Nothobranchius furzeri: one gene and its partners. The protein of the gene in region 3 interacts with the protein of the main gene of each other region in a pairwise test. Links are inferred from orthologs where the notes say so. Each region holds a gene or a part of one and is shown on either strand. Other genes may lie near its edges.

Evidence for each region.
Region 1: the proteins of khdrbs2 (region 3) and dock2-like interact in binary tests that used the Homo sapiens proteins (3 or more experiments, as listed by UniProt). The two-hybrid records come from large-scale screens. The link is inferred for Nothobranchius furzeri from reciprocal best matches to the Homo sapiens genes KHDRBS2 and DOCK2.
Region 2: the proteins of khdrbs2 (region 3) and heterogeneous nuclear ribonucleoprotein R interact in binary tests that used the Homo sapiens proteins (3 or more experiments, as listed by UniProt). The link is inferred for Nothobranchius furzeri from reciprocal best matches to the Homo sapiens genes KHDRBS2 and HNRNPR.
Region 4: the proteins of khdrbs2 (region 3) and ncoa5 interact in a two-hybrid assay, tested with the Homo sapiens proteins (2 studies listed by BioGRID). The two-hybrid records come from large-scale screens. The link is inferred for Nothobranchius furzeri from reciprocal best matches to the Homo sapiens genes KHDRBS2 and NCOA5.
Region 5: the proteins of khdrbs2 (region 3) and cirbpa interact in binary tests that used the Homo sapiens proteins (3 or more experiments, as listed by UniProt). The two-hybrid records come from large-scale screens. The link is inferred for Nothobranchius furzeri from reciprocal best matches to the Homo sapiens genes KHDRBS2 and CIRBP.

What each region holds. Positions count from the first base shown.
Region 1 is NC_091741.1:92,145,862-92,150,977, forward strand, and holds the start of dock2-like (dedicator of cytokinesis protein 2), read left to right. Parts: upstream 1-2,061; 5' UTR 2,062-2,370; coding exon 2,371-2,413; intron 2,414-5,116. UniProt on the Homo sapiens protein: Involved in cytoskeletal rearrangements required for lymphocyte migration in response of chemokines. Activates RAC1 and RAC2, but not CDC42, by functioning as a guanine nucleotide exchange factor (GEF), which exchanges bound GDP for free GTP.
Region 2 is NC_091759.1:6,952,530-6,957,783, reverse strand, and holds the start of heterogeneous nuclear ribonucleoprotein R, read left to right. Parts: upstream 1-2,199; 5' UTR 2,200-2,350; intron 2,351-2,944; 5' UTR 2,945-2,948; coding exon 2,949-3,105; intron 3,106-3,233; coding exon 3,234-3,352; intron 3,353-3,451; coding exon 3,452-3,559; intron 3,560-3,653; coding exon 3,654-3,767; intron 3,768-5,129; coding exon 5,130-5,254. Other genes in the region: atp5if1a (ATPase inhibitor A, mitochondrial), read left to right, coding at 1,137-1,249, 1,339-1,480. UniProt on the Homo sapiens protein: Component of ribonucleosomes, which are complexes of at least 20 other different heterogeneous nuclear ribonucleoproteins (hnRNP). hnRNP play an important role in processing of precursor mRNA in the nucleus.
Region 3 is NC_091752.1:19,510,523-19,515,007, forward strand, and holds part of khdrbs2 (KH domain-containing, RNA-binding, signal transduction-associated protein 2), read left to right. Parts: intron 1-2,171; coding exon 2,172-2,254; intron 2,255-2,794; coding exon 2,795-2,853; intron 2,854-4,230; coding exon 4,231-4,325; 3' UTR 4,326-4,485. UniProt on the Homo sapiens protein: RNA-binding protein that plays a role in the regulation of alternative splicing and influences mRNA splice site selection and exon inclusion. Binds both poly(A) and poly(U) homopolymers. Phosphorylation by PTK6 inhibits its RNA-binding ability.
Region 4 is NC_091743.1:58,540,779-58,545,748, reverse strand, and holds the start of ncoa5 (nuclear receptor coactivator 5), read left to right. Parts: upstream 1-1,915; 5' UTR 1,916-2,028; intron 2,029-2,608; 5' UTR 2,609-2,666; intron 2,667-4,970. UniProt on the Homo sapiens protein: Nuclear receptor coregulator that can have both coactivator and corepressor functions.
Region 5 is NC_091751.1:56,697,300-56,702,302, reverse strand, and holds cirbpa (cold inducible RNA binding protein a), read left to right. Parts: upstream 1-1,948; 5' UTR 1,949-2,074; intron 2,075-2,724; 5' UTR 2,725-2,730; coding exon 2,731-2,830; intron 2,831-2,935; coding exon 2,936-3,042; intron 3,043-3,128; coding exon 3,129-3,270; intron 3,271-3,372; coding exon 3,373-3,514; intron 3,515-3,593; coding exon 3,594-3,652; intron 3,653-4,028; coding exon 4,029-4,039; 3' UTR 4,040-4,787; downstream 4,788-5,003. Other genes in the region: midnolin, read left to right, coding at 16-212. UniProt on the Homo sapiens protein: Cold-inducible mRNA binding protein that plays a protective role in the genotoxic stress response by stabilizing transcripts of genes involved in cell survival. Acts as a translational activator.

The sequences.
Region 1 (5,116 bases), on a different chromosome or scaffold from region 3:
GCTTTTCAGTGTATAGCAGCCTATCAGGAGACGGGTGGGCATGGCCAGCTTTAGCAGACCTTGTTAAATTGACAGAGCTCTGAAACGGCTCATTCTGGAAGGTCCGGAAACTGTAAAGAATATAACAGCTGAAATCGCTTTATGTGAGAGGGACTTTGTGCAAAGAATGTCATTAACATGTTTTGTGTTGACCATAGAACTTTTATAATTTAGGAGTCATATGTTCTCTTTAAACATATTCCAGTGTTTTTTTTGAACTAATACATCTTAAATCATCTTGAATCAGTCTGCTCATTGTCCTCTGACCTCGGACATCAACAAGATACTTTTCCAGTTTGTTCTCTGTAAACCGTAGAGATGGTTCCAGATGAAAATACCAGCACATCAGCCCATCTGCCATCAACAATCTTGTCATGTTCAGTCATTTTCTTCCTCATTTTAGTGCTTAGTTTGAACTTCAGCAAATAATTTTCACCAGATGCCTAAATGCATTGAGTTGCTGCTTTGTGATTGGTTGATTAGCTATTTGTGTTAACGAGCAATTTAACCCACATGATAAATGGCCTGAGCTTCATGAACATGTTTTGAGAAACAATGACTGAAGTTTCTCGACGTAATGATTACATTTAGGATATTAGACACGTTTTCCACTACAGAGCAGTTTGAAGCTGTCGTTTGGGATTTGAAAAGATTTGGTCAGCTGTAGCGACTAGAAGACACTCTGCACCCTGCAGCAAATGTTGAACGGCTAAAATAAATAAGAGGGTTTGGATAATTTTCCATAAATCAATTCAAACATGGAAATGGATATTTTTTGAGGGTCTGATGATGAGTTTTGTTTTCTAGATTGGAGACATAGTTTGGAGGGTTTTATTTATCTGTCTTGTAGCTCATGATTAAGGTAAAGAGAGTGAGCCAGCAATAACCCTAAAGGTCTTATCTATCTATGAATGCTGCCAACTGTGGCGTCAAGGATGTTCTCCGAATGGGATGGTTTCCATGGTGACGCCAACTGAAGGGGTTCAGAGAAGATACATATTTGATGAAGGACTGTTTTCTTTGAAATCCCAGAAATGAATGTGAGCTTCAAAAATGTTTCCATAAAACAACGACCAGAGTCAGACTCAGATAAAATGTTCCATTTAAAACTCCGGTGCTGGAGAAGCTGCTACATCCAGGAGCTGCATGTTGCTTTGGAAATGCTTCTTCCTGCTAAAGAGGCAACGTGTCACCATGCATAAATCTTAAATGAAGACAGTTTGCTGCATTGCAGGATCACAGCTGGCGTTTTCTGGGTTTCTTTTAACCACCGTGTCTCAGAGGATCAAATCTGAATACTTGTTATGATCCTTACTGTTAGGTAATGGATGTCATTAATGCTGTCAAACCTACTGAGATATGACAGTGTGCTGTTTGATATTATAAATGGAGGACAATGGATAAAAAATACATGCCTTTAGAACATCTTCTTTTTAATGTTCTTTAAACCTCTTTTTTTCTCCCCATTTTACTGTGTTCTAACTTTGAGCAACTTTTGATGGTCATTCAAACACACCTCCTGTATGGTTTTAGTAATAAATCATTAGTATAAAAGAAACAACGTTGTTTACGTATATGTTTAAAAATATAGCGAAAATGGGAAAACTCTTAAACAATAAAATGAGTGACCTTACAAATGAAAATCACCAAAGAAGGACAGAAACTGATGCAAAGAATCCTGCAGAAGTTCAGAAGTTTGATTCATTAAACACAAACAATTCAGCTGGAGCAAATTTGTGATAATTTCCTCCAAACTTTAATTTATGAAACATTGTTTTGATCTCGTAATATGATAATAAAAAAAATCTGAAACAAACTCTAATTTTTTGAAAGGTATCTCTTCTATTTTTTCCTTTACCTTCTACATTAAAGCAGTTACAGTATCTCCTTACAGCCTGGACGGAGCTGCATTATGAGGAGACAGCAAGGGTCATGTGAGGAGACAGACAGTTGATATGGCTCAAACAAATCAAAGATTACGGACATTTGGCAGTTTGGTGTGTAGGAGGAATAAGTGGAAACTTAGAAACTGGGGAGATTAAAAAAGTAATATTAGAGACATTATTTAGTTGTTTTTTTTCACTGATGCTGTTTAAATGAGTAAACTGGAAGCTGCACAGGCCCGGGTGCTTGATAGGACTCCACCTTGTTATACTCCACCACTTCCTCTTAACCGCCAAAAGACAGGAAGTGAGAAGAGACAGAAGAGGAAGAAAAGTAAAGGGGGATGGGCTTGCTGCTTTCATTTTAAACACAAAAATGCAGAAGAGAGACAATCAGTGAGAGACATCAAAACAGAACGGGGGTCAAAAATACAAGAGACAGCAAAGTATGGCTCCCTGGACGAGGACGTCCACAAAGCGGTTTGGTGTAGGTAAGTGAGAATGTCTGCACTTGTGCGCTTCTGATCATTCATTCATTCATTCATATGTGCAGAAAGCTTCTATGATGCATCAGTTTTTGATATAATGACGATAGATCAAAAATGGTAAATGACAGATAACAGCACCAAGAGTTGATGATACTTCCTGCTTGATGCTTAGTGAGCAGGCGCAAAAGGCCTCTGGGCTCTGCAGGATGTGCAGATTTAGCCTTTCACTAAAATGTCTTTAGATGCTCAAATTATATTTTCCATTTAACTCTGATGCAAAACCCCTGAAATGAGCTAAAGCAGAGGAATATGTTTAGGTAATATTAAATTCAACAGAGATGTGGCTGGGTTAGTTCTACGCCTTGGAGACAAACAGGATGCATGAAGATAAATGCTAAAAGATAAAGTTCTTTAGAAGTTCTGCTGTTTTCATGGTAAAACTTCGAGACTGGCCACGCGGCATTAAGCTGCGATAGCACAACCTCGGCCCAGTGTTTATCTGGCGTGTGATTCAACATGAAGCCGTTCGGCATGTGTTTCCATTAGATATGAAACATGCTGAAAATGTGACAAGAACACAGATTTTCTGACTTCTAATCCAGACTGTGAAGAGAGATTGACCAGCTTGTTGCAGAATATTTGATTCTTTAAAAGATTCAGTTTTACCAAGAAGATACCGATTAACCACAACCTTACACTGCCCAAGTAATCAAAGTTTTACTTGTAGTAACTGCATATATTAAGAGTAGCAAAAATAAATAGAACTTTACAAAGTCATTTGATAGACAGGACTTTTCCATCTTTTATGAAAAGATGAGACTAGAACACAGGAAGTGGTGGAAGAAGGAAGTAAACTTGTGTGAGTTTAAAGCAGCAGCTGAACCAAGCAGAAATGCTCTAAATGCACAAACTTAGGTTTGAATTCTATGGAACTCAAAAGTATTCAAAATTCAATAAATAAATAAGACATTATGAAATAAATATCTACATGAATAAATACTAGACAATCATGTAATCTGACAATGAAATGATGAAATAACAGAATGTTATGTAAAATCTAAGCTCAATATTATGAAAGAATTTCATTCTTGTTTTAAAATGTCTTTATTAATATAAAGTTTTTTTTCAAAAGTCATTTTTTCATAATAATCCAACTTAATATTGAGCTACTTTTAATTCATTCAGTTTTATATACATAACGTCTTTTTAACAGACAGCTTTTATTTCATTTTTTATTTTTGTTTTTTCATTTCTGTTTTTTCCCATGGCTGATTTATTTCATAATGAGACTTTACAGCAGAATGTCTCGGTCCGTCAGTCAAGCCAGTGGGTGTGACCTGCAACACCATTGGTTAATCCTTCATCATCGTTTGGTTTTCCTGGATTTCTGTAATAGAACAAGGGTATCCCAGCATGCATTGCGCCCCCGGCTGTGGACTTTCAACAGGAAAAGAAAATGGGGAGAGCTACAACATTTTAAATGTAAGTTTGTTTAAAAACTAGCGGTAGAAAAGTAAAAAGCTTAAAGCGGTTCTGTTTATAGACATTTTTCGTACGTGTATTTGTTTTTTAAATTACATTTTGGGCAGAAATCAGCCAGAACAAGCTTGTATCGCGGGTCCCGTAGTTATTCCTGTGTGTGTGTGTGTGTGTGTGTGTGTGTGTGTGTGTGTGTGTGTGTGTGTGTGTGTGTGTAGCGAATTAAAGTTGTCATTTGTTTTAGGGTTAGGGCTACACATGACCACAGTAGTTCTGTGTTCTGCTGTGAAAAGCAGTTTTACATTCAGGGATTTACAGCTGACACGTTTTAATGAAGTAAAAAGTGTTTGTGTGAAGAATATAATTTTTATCTTCTCATGTGGATAGATGTAAAAATGTGTTTATTGCCTTTTTGTCACCTACGGCCTGATTTTCTCTGTAGGACTGCAGGTGTCCAGGGTCAGGAGAGGCTTTACCTGGTGGTCCTCCTGGGAGAGAGGCCTTCTACTGTCATCACGTTAATGTCATTTAGCTGTTTGATATTTTAGCACATTTATTAAAACAAATACTGACTGATAACTCTTTCTGGTCATTGATTTTATCACCAGTTTTATTATTACAGATGTTTTTGAACATGTTACATGAACAGAAAATGAAAAGATGGTAAGGAGACAAGATTATTTATAATACGTTACACTTATTTACAGATCAAAACCAGTATGGACCAGTTTTGTACGGTTAAAGCAGGATTAACCTGACTGACTCTGTTCCTGGATCATTTATTTAAACTGAGTGAGCAGGAAGTCTTTTGCAGTGCAGCTGGATCTGCTGCAGGAGGATCCAGACGTGGATGGAGGGCTGGAGCAGACCCGTGGCTGGACGTTTCTGGCCAGAGGAACATCATACAGGGCAGTCTGCAGAGAGAGCTTTGGGACGCTTCCTTTCACTGTCCACTCCATCGTCCATCTACAGGGACTGCTGGGCTGGCTCAGATGACGGCTGTTACATCTCTATGAATGACTTGCCTGTTAACAATCGTGATGGTTTGCTGGTACCTCCTCCAGGACAGAGCACCACTGACCTCCACACACATCTTCCTCAGACTCATCCTTAGGGATGGGCACCTTTGACATTTGAATCGATTCGGTACTAATTCCCGGTACCTAGGGATCGATACCGGTACTTAACGGTACCAATTTTTGATACTTTTGAGTGTTTACTATTTTA
Region 2 (5,254 bases), on a different chromosome or scaffold from region 3:
ATTCAGATTTCAGATTTATTGGCCAAGTAAAATTACATTTACAAGGAATTTGTCTTCGGTAGATGTTCGCTCTCTAAAACAGACAACAACCACAATAAATGAGAATAAAATACCTAAAAACACATAAGAACATGTATACCCACACACATGTTCATTTACACACACAAATATATATACATGTATACCCACGCACGCACACACACACACATATCCATAAGCATACTGAATAAGTATTAAAAACTGGTTAGAATGCATTAAAGTAGATTGCTATGCTTTATATTAGGGCTGGATGGTAATTCATTAACTACATACATATATAAGGGGCAGATTAAAAGTTCAATAAATGAAAAGTTTATATACTTTTTTTTTATTAGCCTTTCACATAGCTTAATTCTAGAGTTGCTCTGTGTTGAACCAATCATGAGGCTGGAAAAGAGCCACACAGACAGCACAGTAGAAGAATAAACCATTTTTTTCATATAGCGCCTCAAGATAGAAATCACAAGGCACTTCACAAAAATGATGAACATATATTTTTAATTATATTGCAATAAAATTAGGACAAAGGAAAAATGCAAAGGAAGAATTTTTAAAAAGTTGCAGCTGGACAAGCTGATGGCTAATGTTTACATCAGGTAACCACTGAAAAATTGAGATAAAAAAATTACTGTCCTGAAAAAAAGAAGAAAAATGGAGAAAAATGCAACTTGCATCGGTGTCAAATGTGTTGACATATACAGGCTATTTAAAGTCATCCGATAAATGTAAGGTGCACTCTAAATGATATAAAATGCATGTTCGAACAAAGTCTGAGAATATCACTAATCTGTTTTAGCACCCGAACCGGCTAGTGTGAAATGCATGCTTCAGATTTCCCCTAATAATACAGGGTAATAGAAATTGCCAAAAATAGTTTGGTCAGTATTGGCTGATATGAAAAATATTGTGGTGATGGGCATTTTTTCCATATCGTCCAGCCCTACTTCATATCAAAGAACTTCAGGTGGTATTTTGAGGATTCTCATAACTTAGATTAATTAAACATTTTGATATGTGATGCATAACCGAAAGTGTTAAAATAAAGCACATTCCTAGTGTGAGATTTACAATCACATAAAAATATTGTTTTTTTCCAGCTTGGTGAATTGGGAAAGGGAGCAGGGAAAGGTGGTGGTGGTGGAGGCTATGTGAGGTCAGCAGGAGGTGCCTTTGGAAAGCGAGAAGCAGCAGAGGAGGAGCTGTACTTCCGGTGAGATGCCAGGCATAGTGATAATACTGTACTACTACTTTCATTGTATTGTGTTTTCTTGACCGTCTCTGTGTTGCATTTGTTTGCAGGCAGAAGGAACGGGAGCAGTTGGAGGCACTAAGGAAGCATCATTCAGAAGAGATCGAGCACCACAAAAAGGAGATTGAACGCCTACAGAAGGAGATCGACCGCCACAAGGGCAAAATCAGAAAGCTCACGCACGACGATTAAGGGGGAGAGGCCAACTGTCAATTCTTTCCTGAGTAGAACCGCTTGTGAACATGTCGTTATCACTTGTACTTTCTGCAGGTCTTAGTCATGAAAGGTCCTTCTGACTCATCATGCTGAAATAATAAAGTGATTAATCTTCCTACATTGTCAAAATATGCATTTAATTCGCTTTGGATTTTTAAACATTTGGCTTGGTGTTCAAAACATGTGCATTTGTTTCTTCCAAGATAATCAAAATCCCTTTTCAGCAGTTGGATAAAAAGGAAGCATTCTTTTCCATCATCAGTGTTGTGAACGTATGTTTTCCATACTTTCAACAGAATCTTGAACATCAGTTTAAAATTTGAGAAAATAACTATCTGCATACAGATATCGTGCATTTTAAGTAGAAGTAAAATTACCTGTTGCAGTCACACTGCATGTTTTGTTTTTTAGTGTAAAAGTACAACAAAACGAGGATAATTCAATTAAACAGACAAAATACAAATGGACCAGAAAATACTCATGAAATCACAAAATTGATTCGTTATGCTGCGAAATGAATATAAGAAGTCGGGATCACAACTTCACCGCAAGTATTGCCTGCTAATACGTAGTTTTTCGTTTTATTTTTGTTCGTATCTGCGAAACAGAAACCACGGCAGCCATGATTCTCATGAAACCCCCTTCAATGATTTCTCGTTCTGGTCTCGCGATATTTGCTGAGCGGTTGCGTTGTTCGGGCGAGCCGACGACGAGACCGTTGGTGTCTGGAAAAATTGTCTCGTGGTAGAGATATAAGTACACTTTGTTTGGGCATTTTCGTTCGTTAATAAAATTAATAATTTCGCGCGCTAAACCACGGTGTAATTGGCTTCCTGAATCAGGCTGGTAAGTTTTGCTAACTATCAGTTTGGACCTTTTATGTGTTTGATATGTGAGAGGCGTTTGTCGGCACCGCGAGGCCTGCGCGTAAGCTTCGATAGTTAGCTTTTTGGCTAACTATCGCTGCTACTTGAAAAGGCACATTTTGAAATCCCCATCTTGCTTTGAAATATAGTCATTAAATCTTCTGTTAAGTTTTAATTGAGTTCGTTTTCTTTTAAAACGTGCATGTAAATATCAGAATTAAACGTATTTATCTGGCTAGTTAGCGGGCTGCATGCGAAGGAGGCGGGGCTGTAGCTATCTGTTGTTTCTTTTTGAAAACCTGGCTATTTTTTATGTAAACGTGTATATATATATATATATATATATTATATCTCATCCTTCATTTAATAGCATATACAACAATTTTAATTAATTGAATTAGCAAATGTCAGCAGTTGCGATCAAAAAGCAAGAAATCTATGAAGTGAGAGTATTTTTTGTTTGCTACAGGCTGAAAACGCAAATTATTATATGATCTCTAGATTTTATAAGTAAAATAATTACGCAAATGCAGATTAATCAAAAGACATGTCTCTCTTGATTGCTATATTGCAGAGGAATGGCTGCTGCTGAGGTGAATGGGAGTTCTGCTCCATTAAAGGAGGAAGAAGAGCCAATGGATGTGTCAATAACACACACAGAAAACTACCAAACACTACTTGATGCTGGGCTGCCTCAGAAAGTCGCTGAAAGTCTAGATAACATCTTCCAGACAGGTCAGTAATCGCTCCAAAATGAGCTGCTAAATTAAAATATATATATATGTCTCCAAATTGTTTGACATTTTGTTTTATATGTGTGTGTGTGTATGTGTTTTTACATATGTATATAAAATTTACTGTAGGCTTGGTGGCTTATGTTGACTTGGACGAAAGGGCCATTGATGCTCTGCGAGAGTTCAATGAAGAGGGAGCGCTCACGGTGCTGCAGCAATTCAAAGAGAGTGACCTATCTCATGTGCAGGTATTCATGTTTATAGGTAACATTTTAATATTTGTCTGAAGCTGTGATTGTATCCAAAGTGCTTTATGTTTCATTTGTATTTATATAATTTTTTTGTAGAATAAAAGTGCGTTCCTTTGTGGAGTCATGAAAACATACAGACAGAGGGAAAAACAAGGAAGCAAGGTACAAGAGTCCACCAAGGGTCCAGATGAGTCCAAAATAAAGGTGAATTATTTTATGCACATTTGTATGAAATGTTAAAAGTGAGCTTTAAAGTTAGATCTGAAACTAATGTTTAGTTATTGTTTTTTGTTTTAAGTCTCTGTTGGAGAGGACAGGATACACTCTGGACGTGACTACAGGGCAGAGAAAATATGGAGGCCCTCCACCTGAGGACGTATACACAGGCTCACAACCAGGGATTGGAACTGAGGTAGGAGTGCTTCATATATATATATATATATATATATATATATATATATATATATATATATATATATATATATATATATATTAGGGCTGTAGCGAAGCCTCGACGAAGTCGACGGCTCGATTCTAAAAATTTGTCGACGTCAGATCCGGAAGTCGACGCACCGCGCCCACTTTTTGCATCCCCAGGAGTTTGTAAATAGAGGAGGAATCTGCCTGTTCTTCCTCTAGTTCGCCCTCTTCTCCGCCTTCACTAACATCTCCGCCAAATACCGAAGACCCGGAACAACGTCCGTCCACTACTAGATTATTTTCCTGTTTTGCCCCTTCGTCTCCCGGCAACGGACAACAACTTCCGGGGTCAGATGCGCTGCTTCGTGTCTATCGCAGATGTAGAAAATCACCGGGAGCGCTTCTCCCTTCATTAAGGAGCTTCTTTCAGACATGAGGAGAGCTGTTTTGGTGGTAGCAGTCTCTCCTCCATGCTGGTCTGTTTGCTGCTGGGTGTTTTTGGTTTATTTAAACTTGGTAACTTGAACTTAATGTTGGTAAAGCTACTGTTAGCATCTTCGCTAACAGCTTCTTGCGTTGGGATAAGCTGTTACGTTTTGGTTTAGAGTTCATATTTTTTGTGGTGTAGATCTCCCTTTTATTACATTTAGAGTGTTGTGGGTTTTCGGTTTAGTGTAAAATATCACCTGAGTTTGGTTTAACCCGTAAGACCACTCGCCTCACGCACATAAGTGACCAAAACAAAGCAGCATGGAGACACTCCATCTTCTACCACCTCTCAGGCAGCAGCCTGCACTCCCAAGTTCTACACGTCATCAGAACATAACCAACCAACACAATAAACACAGTGTTATACAAAATGGAAGGCCTGTAGTGTTTATTCTCTTACAGTAAGAATTTATCAATTCTTTTTGAGGAATTTATTTGAGATTTTCTGGTTTTTGTTAATTGTGCAATAGAAAAATAATCATTAGATTAATTTTCTAAATAGTCATTAGAATAGTCGACTATTCGATAAAATAATCGTCAGAATAATCGTTTTAAAAATAATCGTTTACCCCTAGCCCTAATATATATATATATATAAAGTGATGAAATTTTCTGCAAACTCTGTTCATACATGGTGACCAAAATGCAGCAGAGCTTTGATCTTAATTATAACTAAAATATGAAAGACATTTGAAAATGTGCCCAAATTGTTAATCTAGTGATTTCTGGAAATGGACTATTAGGTTGGACTTGGACTTTTAGTTGACTACACCAATCCACTACTTAAAAACACTTTGTTTCTAATTTTCACTCAGTTAGATGCTGATATCATTGATGGTGTGTTTGTTTCTTTTGTTTTATTCAGGTGTTTGTTGGGAAAATCCCCAGGGATCTTTATGAAGATGAGCTTGTGCCTCTGTTTGAGTCTGCTGGTGCCATCTGGGACCTCAGGTTAATGATGGACCCCCTGTCTGGTCAGAACAGAGGTTA
Region 3 (4,485 bases):
GATGCAAAACGCGCTGGATACCAGCCCTCGAGATCCGCAACTGAATAGCCCTGCCTATAGACACCAGAGAGGACATACAGACCTATGTCACACTGTAAATTAGTATTCATGGACTCACCCATGTTGGCTCGCAACCACGAGTGTAGAATTTTGCAATCAGGAGAAAGCAGAGCGCATCTTGGCTAGTAGAAACTTAGCGTTAGTAGCAACTCCACAACACGGTGGAATAGGTTCAGATTTGTGGTATTTGTGGGGATAAAATATCACTGTTGCAGAGAAAACGGAGACAGTGGAAGAGTCAAATTGTTGTTAGCCAATCAGAAGCAAGTTGACTGCATATCATAAATATTCATGAGTAAGACTTCAAATCCAGCAGTTTTCAGTTCTCCACTTCTTCAGCTAACTTCTACTTTGACACAAATGACTCAAGGCATTCATCCATACTAGAGACAACAAATGTAGTGAAAAAACAAGTGCGGAGCAGGCGGAGGGAGACTAGGGGTCTTAGCCACCTCTGTTGTTGTTGGGCTTCCTGGGGCTGGAGGCTAGGAGGGAGATCTGGCCGTCTGGTTGGGGTCTGGGGTGGTGGGTTGCCGTGCTCAGCGTTGGGCGGGGGAGCCTGCTCATCAGCACCCCAGCAGAAAGGGTCAAACTCTGGTTACCGGTGATGGTTGTACCCAATGTGCAGCAGTACCGGGACCAGAGTGAATAGGGTGTGTATGGGGAGCATGAGTGGGTGTCCGGCGTGCATTTTTGTAAGTCCTTGGTTGTATGTGCATGTGTGAGCATGAGGGAGGGAGTGTGTGACTGTGTTTGTGTATGACTGCATATGTCAGGTGGGGCCTTTGGGTCCTCCCCTCTCCTGGAACTTCTTTTGATGATATAGATCTTTGTCCTCCCTCCCCCTGCCACACCTGGTGTGGGGGCTTGTGCCTTGGTCTGCCTGAGTGTTCGTGGCAACCGGGTCTGGGGGTTTAAGATTTTGGCATCTGCCTGATAGATCCTGGTGGCTGCCTGGTGGGGTCTGGGTCCCTGGGCTATGCTGGGTCCCCGGCGGGGGTGGTCGCCCCTGGGTCCCGGGTCGCTGGGTCCCGGGTTCGGCCGGCTAGGGGGTGGGAGGCTGCGGGCGGGCCTGTGGGCTTGCCGCTGATATCTCCAGGGACTCTGCCGGCTGCTGGTTGTGGCCCCCCGGGGCGATCCTCTGTGCCTCTCGAGGGGGGCGGGGGCCTTCCTGGTTGCAGTCTCCTTGGGGTTCCTGTGTTCTGGGGCAGCGCCTGGATCTCTGGGACTTGGAGCTCCCCCCGTCTCCTGCGCATCTTTGGGGGGCGGATCTGTGGTCCCTCACACTCTCTGTTGGACGCTCCTATAGAGAAACCTTAAATAAACAAGCGCGTGTACACACACAGGCGCTCACATGGTGCTCTCAAAAGTATGGACTTGGGCAGGTATAACACAGGTCTTAAGACTATGGTGGGCACTTAATGCACTGTGATTTATTATCGTGATTCTTCAGTTAAGCAATGTTGATTTTATATATATATATATATATATATATATATATATATATATATATATATATATATATATATGTTGTTTTTTTTCATCAAGTTGACGCAGTGATAGCTTGATCTTGTTGTATTGTTGTTGTATCCCTTTTTTTTGTGTCCTTTTGTTTTTGTTTTTTTTTGTCTTTTTCTGCAGGTCTAGAAGCAGACTCTTATTCATTATTGTTTATTTCTTGTGGAACCCCCCCCCCCCCCCCCCTCCTCTCCCCACCTTTTCTTTTCCTTTCTCTTTCACCTCTGTCTCCGTGTCTGGTCGGAATTACAACGCATTCAACAACAATAACAATAAAGTTTTAAGTATCAGGCGTGACATTAAAAGCAAACGCTTTGATGCTCCACCTGAGAATAAATCTGTAAGGCTTGTCACCAGCATTCAGACATCAATTCTGCTTGCTTCACAGCCAGACAGGACACGGTAATAAAATAAAAAAAAGAAAGAAAAAACAAGTGAATGGGAGCTTTAAGAAGAAACATTCAGTACAATCAAGAATTATTAGCATTTCTATGCCATAAAACACACTAACAGTAAATTTCACTTCAATGATCCAAAAAGCAGCTCGCTGATGGTTTTGTTATTTAGATTTTTATTTATTTTTTTGCTGACAGGGTTACGATGACAGATACGATGGTGAATACGACGAAGATGGTTACGAAGCCTACGACGAGGACTACAACAGTCAGTCAAAGAGGTAACGTTAGTAAACAAACCAGTGTACAGCGTCCGTACGGTGACTTATTTTCATGTTGTGATATTAAAGTGAAAAATTTACTAGAGAAAAACTTGAGACTGATTAGTTGGTCCAGATAGCTCCCCCGTTTATTAAAAACATATCAGTGAGCGACACAAGCAACACGAGCACAGACAGCAGTAAGTCCCAGATTCAGCATCTTGCTACTGAAGATCCTCACTGGAGCACCTAATGTGTAATGAATTAATCCACAGATGAAAATAGTCTTAAGCAAATGTTTTATTTGCACATCCTTGAGAGGAAGTTTCTAAACCCGACACAGCCCATCTGTTGTAGGATTATTGAGTCCTTGTATGGAATAAACTACACATTTATGTAGCTTCGGCGGCTCCGCTGGGTTCAGGATTACAGACAGTGCTGATAAGAAGGGGATGATAGGAAAACTGGCTTTTTTGCTTTGCAGAATTCTGCAAACATCATGTCTGCTTTGGTGTGTTACTTAATCATACTTGAGCTGATGCTCTGTTCTGTTTTATTCAGCATTTCAGAGTATTATGAATACGGACACAGCACCAGTGATGAATCCTACAACAACTATGGTGAGTGCGGCTGATTATGTCCTCGGAGGATCTTTGTTTTTGGTGCGTTGAAGATCAGTGACCTAAATATGAGTCACCCTCATTTTCATGTGTCATCCTTTTTGTTTAATACAGGCAGCCGCTCAGTGTAGTGTTTAATCTAGCACGAGTGCAGCATAACCCTACGATTAAAGCAGAAAAATGGGTTGATTATTTGATTAGACCATCTATAAAAATGATTTGGGTACTTTATAGAGGCTTAATTAAGTTCTTTATCACGCAACAGTGCCTCACCATGTACCTCGCTCCTAAATCTATCAGGACTAATCAAAAATTAAAATATGAGTTCACTGCTGCTTCACACGCTCAAGTCTATAGGAAGGTCTAGTGTGAAGCTGTGCTGCTAACGAGCCAGCACTGTTGTTTTTATAAAAGAAAACAATTCTAATTATCTACTATTATTGCTGGTAATTAACTGCATTCATGAGGAGAGTGTAGGATTTTATAAACGTCCGCATTAGCTATGTTGTTATTTGAAAGGCACGAGACAAAGAAAAATTCAGTTCCAGCCCACTTCCTGACCCAGGGAGCCATGCTGCATGCATCAACCCTCCTACCTGCTTGGTTATGAGCTGCACCAACTAAAACCCTGAATGTGCCGGTGGCAGCTCGTGAAGCTAACCGACGCTTGCTGAGATGCTGTTTTGCCTTTTGGGTATGTGCCCTCAAAGGTCTTTGTCAGAAAGCTCTTCTAACCTCTGCTGTGTGCACATAAATCAATCTTGGATATATCTCCAAACAACCAGATATTTTTTAATATTTTTTTTTCTCTTTATCAAAGAGACCACCAATTTTCAAAGAAACTCTCTGAAGACTTTAGCAAGAAGAGCGTTAATGTAAGCACAAAGGTCACTCAGGAATTCAGGTGCAAGGTGTTGGTAGGTGGGTGCTGCTGCACATTTGAAGGTTCATTTATTCACAGGATTTTTAAAAAATCACCGAGGTGTCGAGGTTGACTCAAACCAAAACCAAGGGAGATATGATTTTATTTTCTGCTACATAAATACTCTCTTATTTGTAAACGGCGCAGAGTGCCATACAGCAAAGATGGCCATCTTTATGTAATTTAGCTCAGAGGAAAGAGCCGTTAATAGTCTAATCTCAGAAATGGTTCAACAAAAGGGCAAAAAGCTCATAAAATTTATTTCTTGCTAAGAGAAACCCCTGCAGTTCCTTAGAAATAATTTGCAGCCAGAATATCTTGTCGTTGCGTGCTGAAGTGCACCGTAAAAGGCTCAAATACAATACCATTGCCCCACAGTTAGCTGTATGACATGAAATTTCTCACCACGGTAATCAAATCATATTTCCTCAACGTGTCTAACATTTTTTTTGCAGAGGAAGAATGGACGAGCATCCGAGTCGGGCTGAAAGCTCCTGCTCTACGGCTGACAAGAGGCGGCTACAGAAAACATCCGTATGGTAGATACTGAAGGTGCTCCACACTTGTGATCTCCTACTCTCTTTGTATCTTTTTTTGTTCTCTTTTAAATTTTTCATAAGACGCTGTAACATTCACTTTATCGCCCATCAGCTTTTAAAACAAACAGAAACAAAATGCAAAATCCAACCTCTTGTGTTATTCTGATGTTA
Region 4 (4,970 bases), on a different chromosome or scaffold from region 3:
GTTATTTTCACAAACATATTATTATCTTTGTATTGTATTTATGTCTTATTGTCACTTTTGTAACAATTTATTACAACTATGTGTCCACTTTTATCATCTTCTTGAAATGCACACTTTTGCGTGTTTATGCAATTTCACAAGACTTTTTTTGTTTTTTAGAACCGTTGTATAAAGTTTGACATGAATTGTCTAACCTGTTATGTTTTTTGATTGTAATACTCGTGGTTCATTTTATAAACTTTTAGAAGTCTTTCATGCATCAGTGTTAGCTTGACTGGGTACAAAATTTCTTCATGAATATATTTAATAATGTGTTTGCTGAATAACATGATATCACACAACAGGTATCTTTTATGAAATTCTACAATCAGAACAATCATTCGAGCAAGGAAAGGAATCACACAGCTGGTCTAGAGGAGACACAAACGGATGGAGGTCAAATAGATTAAATTTGCTAGAACTCACAACAACTTCTAACTATATTACATTTTCTTTTCAGTTGCCCAACCTTTTATACAAGTTAAACCCATTTTTCTACTCTATGCAAGAAACCTTCAATAAAAACTAAAACTATATCTGACTTTAATATATCTTCTAGTCTCTGGCCAGTGCTGTTTGATCAGTTTGTAAACACACACACTTTAATTGGCTGTCACCTAGAATAAACTTTAAATCTCAAAATTCCAAAAGAAGAAAATAAAAACACAAGTAAGTTGAAGAAGAAGAAGAAGAAGCATACATTAAATTAGCTGGCACATGAGTGCACATGAGCAAATTTTACATTCCCAAAACATAAATTGCACACATTATTACAAAAACAGCAAGACAAGATGTTTTAAAAGAGTTGATATTACTGCTGATCCTCTGGGTCCTTACCGAGGAGCAGAAGTCCAACCGACGAAAGATAGCAGCTCTACTGATACGAACATGCCCAAGAAGTATATCATCCATAGTAAAAGTTAAATATAAACTGTTAAAGTCAAAGTTCATGTAGATGAACCTTTTTATTTTAAGTTGCACCAGAGCACAGCCATTGTCATGGTATTGGGTGAGTGGCTTCTAACCAGTTCCTCAAAGTGTATCTCTGCAAAGGTGCAGTGGTACGCCTTCACTCTGTTGGGTGATTGGTATTGTAAAATTGATATTGCTGGTCACCAAGATGCAAGGATGTTTCAGCTCAGTGGTCTAGTGGTATGAGTGCCTTGGGATTGGGAGATTGGGGTTTAAATCCCGGCCGAGTAAAAGACTTGATGCTTTCTTGCTTGACACTCAGCAATAAGGGTTGGAATGGGGGTTAACGCCACCAATTGATTTCAAAGTATTTTATAAATTACTCTGTGGAATGGGACCAGAATGCATGTTGGATCTCCATCAGGTATACCAGCTCTGACATTATGAAGTAGTCAGCTGGTAGAGCCTCAGGACAGAACAAAACAGGGTGAACTTGTTTCTTGCTACTATACACACAGATGTAATCAGCTTCCTCGTGAGCTCAAATGTGCCACAACTCTAGTAACTAATCAAAATTGAAAACCTTCATGTTTTCATCAGCTTTTGAATGACTGTTCTTATGCTGAACATTCTGCATTATATTTGCTTACCCTTTAATCTTTTAAATTGCATTTTCTGACACGTTTATTTTAATGTTCTTGCTATCCTCGCTAAGCAATTGCCTCTGTGGCTGAAATGCGTTATATAAATAAAGCTGCTTTGTTAAACACAGATAAATACATAGATTTATTAAGTTTTAGTTGTTGAGTAGTTTGTATAAGTTATGACGTTCTGCCCCTTAGACTAACTATGCCGTTAAAAATTGGAATTTTCTAAGCGGTATATTTAATTTTGAAGGAATCTACAGAAAAAGCTACCCAAATCAGCAAGCCTGTTATTTGTAGTTCGTTGGAGATTACAAGCGCGGCACACTCGCGCATGCGCAATACACAGAATAGACGGCGTAGTCGGGGAAGACGGCTAGCCATTTTGGCGTCAATACAGCAAATCGAAATATAAATTATTTGCTCGTCGAAGGTAAGTGGAGAGCTGTACAGTCGATTATAAAGTAAATAATGGTCTTAGCGATTCATATAGCTGGTACAGCAATTTTAATATTAAAGTTGTTTGGTTTTAACCTCCTTGTATCCGTGTAAGTAACTAGCTAGCAGGCTAATGCTAGGCTACACGAGGTTAAGGCGCATTTTCGTAAATATAAACACAAACGTGGATGAATCTGCAAGAAGCAGCAAATGGGATGTTGTTATGTTGTTCCGTGGTATCGATTAAAATGTAAATGTAGTTATTTGTCTTATCTCTGTTCATGGCGCACGTGAAACGCCATTTGCTACACACACTACCACGGACATGAACGGAGGCCATTAACCGGCCCTATCTCCTGGTTTCAGTGGGTTGATGAAAATTGTTTGAATTACTTCTGTGTCGTAATTTTATAAGATGTAGATTAATTAAATTTAGAACTCGAGTTCATACACAGATTGATATAATTTACAGAGTTTATAGAAATATCCAGAAATAAGCAAAGTTAACGTTAGTTTTCTCTTCTTGCCCACATTTAAGTTTTGTTCCCCCCTTTTCTTTCTCTTTCTGCTGATAGGCATTTGGACCATTAAACCATCGGGCACTGAATACAGATCATCTGCCTTCAAGTTAAGGTATGGTTAGGGTCTGTACCCTATAAATACATACATAAATAATTAACTTAATGTTATTTTTTGGAATATTCTTTTAGTTGTGCTGTATGGATGTTTTGACTGAAAATATCCAACAATTTATTTTAAAAGCATTTCTAATTGCGTTTTACATACCTTCGGAATAAAATATTTCCTGAGTTTGAGCAACAAGAATTTGTGATCTTGTTGATCTTAAACTTCTCGCTTCATTTTGACAAACTCGCCTGCGCTGGAGTGGACTCTGCCGTTTCAAGAGAAGAGGATCTTTTAAACAAATGTCTATTCTTTGCGTTTCAATTGAAGTGAGTCCAACAAACGAGTAAAAAATTTTCATCGGCTGAATACATTTTCACTAACTTAATAAACTTGTGAGGTATGGTGTTCTAGGGCTGCTCGATTATGGCAAAAATTATGATCACGATTATTTTGATTGAAATTGAGATCTCGATTATTTAAGACAATGTTTAAATTAATGTTGGTTTTTATTCTGTCATAAAATTGCACAGGGCACAATCAGGACAAAAATAAACAAGAAAAAGAAAGAAACAAGATGATCACAAAAACAAATCCTGATTCCTAGTATAAAAAGGCTAATGCACTTGCATGTAGTTTATGATCCAAAGAGTTTAGGCTGAGGTTTAACTCATTTAAGGGAGACCCAAATACTCAACCCAGGGTTTCCCTTACATAGGCGTAGCCCGTGGCGGCCCGCCACGGCTGAAATCCCACCGCCACGCCTACAAGATCCCAAGTTTTTTTTTTTTTTGCACTGTTTCCCAAAGAAGCAGCGGGAACTACTATGTCGTCGCTTGTGATCACAGCCGGTGGGCAGCAAGGAGCAGGCAGGGCTAGGTGAAGTTACAGCATAAGTTACTGAGTTTAAAATTAGAAAGGTAGCAGTGGATATAATGCTTTTTGGTTTACATGTTTCAGTAGCATTAAGATAAACAAGTGTTGACGATCTTGACAGGGTTTCCTCCAGTGCTTATTATGCCAGGTTCTCCTCCCCCCACCAGGTTAAGCATCACTTATTCATGTAAAATTTATTTATTTTTTCATGTCTGACTTTAACCGCATCTAATACTGTATTACGGCGTGAGCTCAACAGCGACAACTTAAGATCGATGTGTGAGCAGCGTGAGAGGTCGGGTGTTTTCATCTGAACCCTTACAACCTCCAGCAGGCTACGCTGCACTATTGACGTGTTAGCGCACGGCGCTAACAACTTAGCGACGTGACATGTCTCTGAGAAAGCGTAAAAACACGTTGGACGCTTCTTCTGAAGCGGGAAAATAACACTTCTTCTTAAGCAGAGCACGACGTCGCCTCGGCTCGTTCACAGCCGAGCCGGACTGAGCTCGATAACATTGACCCAGCACAGCCACTGGGTCGTTGGAGCTGCCCCGTGACTGCCTGATGGAAAACCAGCAGGTTTTATCAGACTCGTAAAGTTTATTGTTTTTGCTGGGGACCCCCTGTATTTTACCGCTCCCTCCTGCAGTCTTCCCCTATTAAAATTTAAAATGATTCTGTAAATTCCGTGTATCAATAGAAAAAATATCTGCCTCTGCCAGCTGCAGTAAATGTAGTCTCCAAATAATAAATAAGAGGTGCATTCGTCTGTGGATCTCCTTTGATCCGCATGAGTGATATTCTCAGCACCAGAACAGTGAAGCAAAGAAAGATTCCCGAGTTTGTTAGTAATTTTATTTATTAGGTGCATCTAACCTGTTCTATTTTTCTCTGAAATGAGATCAAATCAGTGCTTCTATGGGTTGTCTCCACTCTGCACTGGAAAATTTTTACTTTATTTAGAGACTACACTGCAACCAATATGTTGCAAACGATGACAGGAAGAATTATACAGTGCATTTATAATATAAAATAAATGAAAACATACAAACATCAATATTTTAGTGAAGTTCACAAATTTGCATAATTTAATTCTCTCCAGCAGTGCTGTAGGAGTGTGGCAACGTGTCGCTCAGAGATATAAATTATTATTTCAGTGTGAGGAACTTTATCTATTTCTAAACAATTTTTTTTTACAGGCTGGCTCTGTTAGCCTTTTCTTTTGCGACCGACACAATATGACATCCCTTTCCTAAAATGTCCGGAAGGACGGTCTGGAAAAACAGGCTGTGTGTTTTGCTAACCTGCAGAAATGTAGACTATTATTCAGAAAGTAGCTGAAGGTTACCAGAATTGTTTCTAGGTTGTTTGCTGGGTACTTTTAGAAGTTAAAAAGTCAAGAAGTGGGTCTGAAAAGCTTTAGGCAACACTGTG
Region 5 (5,003 bases), on a different chromosome or scaffold from region 3:
TTCTGTTTCCTGCAGGTGATGAGCTGCTGCCTTCATCCTTAGAGGAGATCAATGCGCTGCAGTGTAAGTTAGAGCGTCTTCATTTCTTGATGCAGCGGAGGCGTCTCCGCAGGAGGACTCGGAGGAGTCCACAACTTCATCACCCCAGACCCCGTCAACGCCATTGTTCTAGTGTTGTCAATGAAAAAAGGTTCAGCAGGAGAGCTTCCTAGCAGTAAAGGGCTGTGGTATTTTATGTAGGCCTCTGTGAAATGTGTGTTATGAGGTTTTGTCACACTCGTGTCTGTTTGGATGCTAATTACTTTTTTGGTTCTTGCTAACATTTCTCTTTGGTTCCTCCTATCTTCAGCCTCTTAGATAAATACCAGGTGGTTTCAAGAAGCCCTGATGGACTGAGGGATGAAGAATCTGGATGTAGGAACAATGAATGTAGCTGATAATTATTAGCCTAGTGAACTAGACCAAATCCTTGCTTTGCAAAGTTTGGTCTAGGCATGCTCCATTGGAACCTCCACAGCTCTACCAGGACTCTGGCTGGCCAATCACAGCTCTCTAGAGGGGTTTCAAACACATAAAGAGCTGTGATTGGTCCATAATTGTGGGCCAATCATAGTGCTCTATCTGCTTAGTGAACAAATCACAGAGCTTTATCCGCTTTGTGGGCCAATCAGGGCACTCTATGTGCCTGGTGGGTGGGATGATGCAACAGAGTGAAACAAGAGTCACATTCATTGTCCAGTGGAATGCGGAGATCATTTGAAAGACAACGGTAGAACCCGCCCCACAACCGAGAGCCGTCAATGGATCGTGGCCAGACTAAATAATACATTTATTTAGTCTGGCTTGCCAGGCTAGATAATTATATCATCACACTGTAAATATAAATGGTGGGGTGATCCACTGGTTTGGGTTTCTACCTCATTGCTGAGACCTTTAATGTGCACAGTGCTGTCTAAAATCAATGTTTTTGTCTCCAAATCTCATGTGTGTCTTTATCTCATCTCAACTCAGCCATGGTTTTGTCTGTATAAAAAATAAATTGCACATTAAAATTATTTGTTTTGTTTGTTACCTTGAATGCAGAGCAAGAGTTGCTCTCATCAGACTGTTTTATTTTTTTTTTTGTGTTGTCTAAGATAAAGTCCACATTTCTGAAAGAAAAATAAGATGTACATGCAACCAAATAAATGAAAACTGAATTTTCAAACTGTGAGTCAAAGATGCCGTTACAGATCAAAATGATAGCTTTCTCAGTATTATTTATTATTAGGATGATTCGCTTGAACCATCAGGAAAAGGACAAATTGCCTCTGACCTCTTTCGGATGACGCAACACTACATTTCTCCCTGATTCGTCACACTGAGACCACTCTGCAGGTGAGATATGCTGACTACTCATAACTGCTGTAGAACATCCATCCATTTTCTATACCTGCTGGTGCTTATCTTCAGCTGTCTTTTGGGCAAACAAGCTGGGGTACGCCCTGGACAGGTTGTGTCACAAGGCAATCTCTAGAAAATCCCTTTTAAAATATCCTTGATTTTTTTTATTAATCACAATATCTCATGAGATCTCTTAATTTATTTCCTTTTTATAATACATTGTCAGATGTTCAATGGATGTGATGATTTGAGCAAGTTTTCCTTAAAAAATACAATTGAATAGGTAAATTTACAAAATTCTAAAATATTATTAAACGTGTAACTTCCCAATAACTAAAGCAACAGATATTTTTGATTTACAATGATTGCGTTTCACAAAGGGAACCTCCATTTAGAAATTACACTAAACTACATTATCATTCCTGCTACTAGCAACAAGCAGTCAGTGTTTTACAAATATAACCAAATAACAGTTAATTGTACAGATAGGTAGTAACAAAGACGCATCCTAAGTAATCGTAACTGGCAGTAATACCGTACTTTGACCAGTAGGAAGCAGTAATGAGTTTAAAATTTGCGAAACACCAGAAGAAGCGCAGCAAAGGTTTAAAAGAAAGCGCCCCTCTTCCTCTTCCTCACTCGTCTTGCTGCTTAGCTCCGTTTCTGTCGCTCCCACAAGCTCAAACAAAAGGTAAAGTTTTTTTCCGCGTAATTTCATTAAGTTTGAAAAATATATTTAAAAATAACGGTGCTTGCGTTGATGATTCGTGAATATTAGGTATTTTATTTTTGAGATATTGGATAAAACCGTTAAACTCGTGTTTTTTATGTAGCAAAAAAGCCGACCTAGTCTGCTGAATTACGACGTTTTAACTAAAAATATGTAAAAGCAGTTTGCCTATGTTTTGATGTACTGGCCTATTTACGTAACCTTGAAAGTGGGTCATCGTGTTGGAAATATGAGCTACATGCTAAGTGGGCCACTGAAACAAAGAAGACAGAAGCGCTATGCTACAAGATGGCGCCGGAAGGAAGAGCACGCCATCTGGCCTCGATTTCCATTCAATATTTTGCATATTTATGGCTCCGCAGATAGTAAAAAATGCGTTATTCTTTTTGTTAGCAATTATTTACGTTCACCAAAGAGGTTCCCATTTGTTTTTTGTCGTGTTTTAACTTGCCGCTAAATCGCAGAACGGTACTGCGGATCTGCGCAACGTGTTCGCCATTTTGTAACTGGCATGGTGACCTACTTTTTAATGCTGCGTCACCCTGCTCTAGTTCTGTAACCAATTAAGGAAATTGTCATATTTAAGCACTTAAACTTTTTTCTTTTTTAAGATCACAATGTCTGACGAAGGCAAGTTATTTATCGGAGGTTTGAGCTTCGAGACCACCGAGGATTCTCTGGCCGCCGCCTTTGGAAAATATGGAACCATCGAAAAAGGTAAAGAACGTAGAAGCGCCGCATTGTTTTTTTCTGTTTTACGTAAGTTTTAAATTCTATTGCATTAAATTGTGCTTTATTTTTATTTTTTTATTTTTTTTTTAGTTGATGTGATCAGAGACAAAGAGACTGGAAGGTCGCGTGGGTTTGGCTTCGTCAAATACGATAATGTTGATGATGCAAAGGATGCGTTGGACGCCATGAACGGAAAGGTAAGTTGGGATTGTGGGAAAGGGTTATTGATGCAAATTAACTGGTATGTAAATGTTTGTAATGTTATGGCAATTTTCTCCGTTAGACTCTGGATGGTCGTGCCATTCGTGTTGATGAAGCGGGGAAAGGTGGACGCTCCAGAGGAGGATTCAGCTCAGGGCCACGAGGCGGCAGATTCAGCAGCGGGTCCCGGGGGAGAGGCGGACGAGGCTTCTCCAGAGGTGAAGGTTAGTACATGTTTTCTATCTTAAAAAATATCCACACACTTATATAAACAAATATTTTCTATAATGTCCCTTTGCAGTACTATGACAAAGTGTCTTTAACAGGTGGATACAACAGCGACAGAGGATATGGAGACAGAAGTTACGGGGACAGAAGCTTCGGTGGTGGTGATAGGAGTTTTGGTGGTGGATACAGGAGTGGAGGTGGTGGAGGAGGATACTCCTCAGGCGGCTACAGAGAGAGCAGGTCAGTAGTCGGACAACAGATTTTCATTTGCACTTTAGGAGGGACCACAGCACTAACTACTTCTGTTTCTGACCTTCAGGGGACAGGGTGGATATGGTGACCGATCAGGATCCTATCGTGATGGATACGACAGCTATGGTAAGCTGTAGTTAAACTGAATAGTTCAAGTTTGGGGCTGACTCTACAGAATGTTTACATGAATTGTAAAAAGTATGTTGATGGACTTCATCTGAGGGACCTTCAGGCTAGCTTCACAGCCCTAGCATTTCCTGCCTCATAAGTGTGCCCTTCAGTTTTGTACCTGAGCCCAAGTAAATGCCTCTGTTGCCAGTTTTGCCCGGTTTCACATGAAGACTGGCGGAAACTAAAGCACCAACTCAAATGCCTTCTCAAACTGCTCATTTCTCAACTGACGGAGCCTCTTAAAAAAGGAGTTTTGAGATTAGGTCTGATGGGTTGAGGGGATGTTGTAAAACTCCAGTGTCTTTACCTGTGCCCACTTCTTATCCTCCAGCACACGAGTAAACGTCACCCTGATTCAAGATCCATCACTTGGCTGGCTGTATTTGAAAGCTGCGCTCCTCAAGAAAAATGTCCACGTGTTATTGACTTTAGTTATGTAGTTCTGTTGTAGTAGCTTGGCATCAGAAGAAACTGAATTTTGGTAAAAACCATGTTACAAATGCAGTTCAGAGATCTTTGATTGGGCATCCTCTGATCATTCATGACTTTGTGTGAACTCCTGTACAGTCCTGGGCTGAAACAATTCTCCACATGGCTTCTGGTAAATCGGCTACAGTGGCTGGAGATTTCTTTTGTCCAGCAATACAGTTTCTAAATTAAAGTTTTTTTCTTCTTTAGCCTAAGACTGACCTACCTCCTGGTTTTTTATTTTTAACTGAGTAAGGAGCTCTTAACTAGAACTTTTGGGATTTTAATTGTTAAATTCCTTCATGAGAATCTTAGTTTGTCCAAGCTTTTGTTAAAATTTCCCAAAAGAACTCCTTCCAGACTGGTGAACTACACTTCCGAAGCGGCCGGCTGTTCATGAAGTTGCAAAATGCAACATGCTACAGTCCGTCCAAGGTATCTTCTGTGCTCTGCAGTTTATGTGCTGTAAAATGGACTAAAGTGATCGCAAATGTAACTTCGTTTTTCAGAGTTTAAATATAAATGGGAACATTTTTGTACTTATGTTTGTATGATCCAACTTTTTTTTTTTTTTCCTGTTCGTTGGCTTCATGGAGCCTATTAAACAAAATGTGGAAAATGATCCTGATTCCGTTGCCTGTTCAAAATGATCGCATGGGGAAGTAAAACTAATGGCTCTTGATCCTGCTGGATTGGAGAAGGACAGCCACTTGCACTACTGAACAAGCTAAACTTGAGATTAGCTTAATACCACAGCTACATGTAAAAATCTAGGTTCTCTCATTTGATCTGTTTGTGAAGTCTTCATTGAGGAACTTGGCTCAGGTTTGGGGTATTT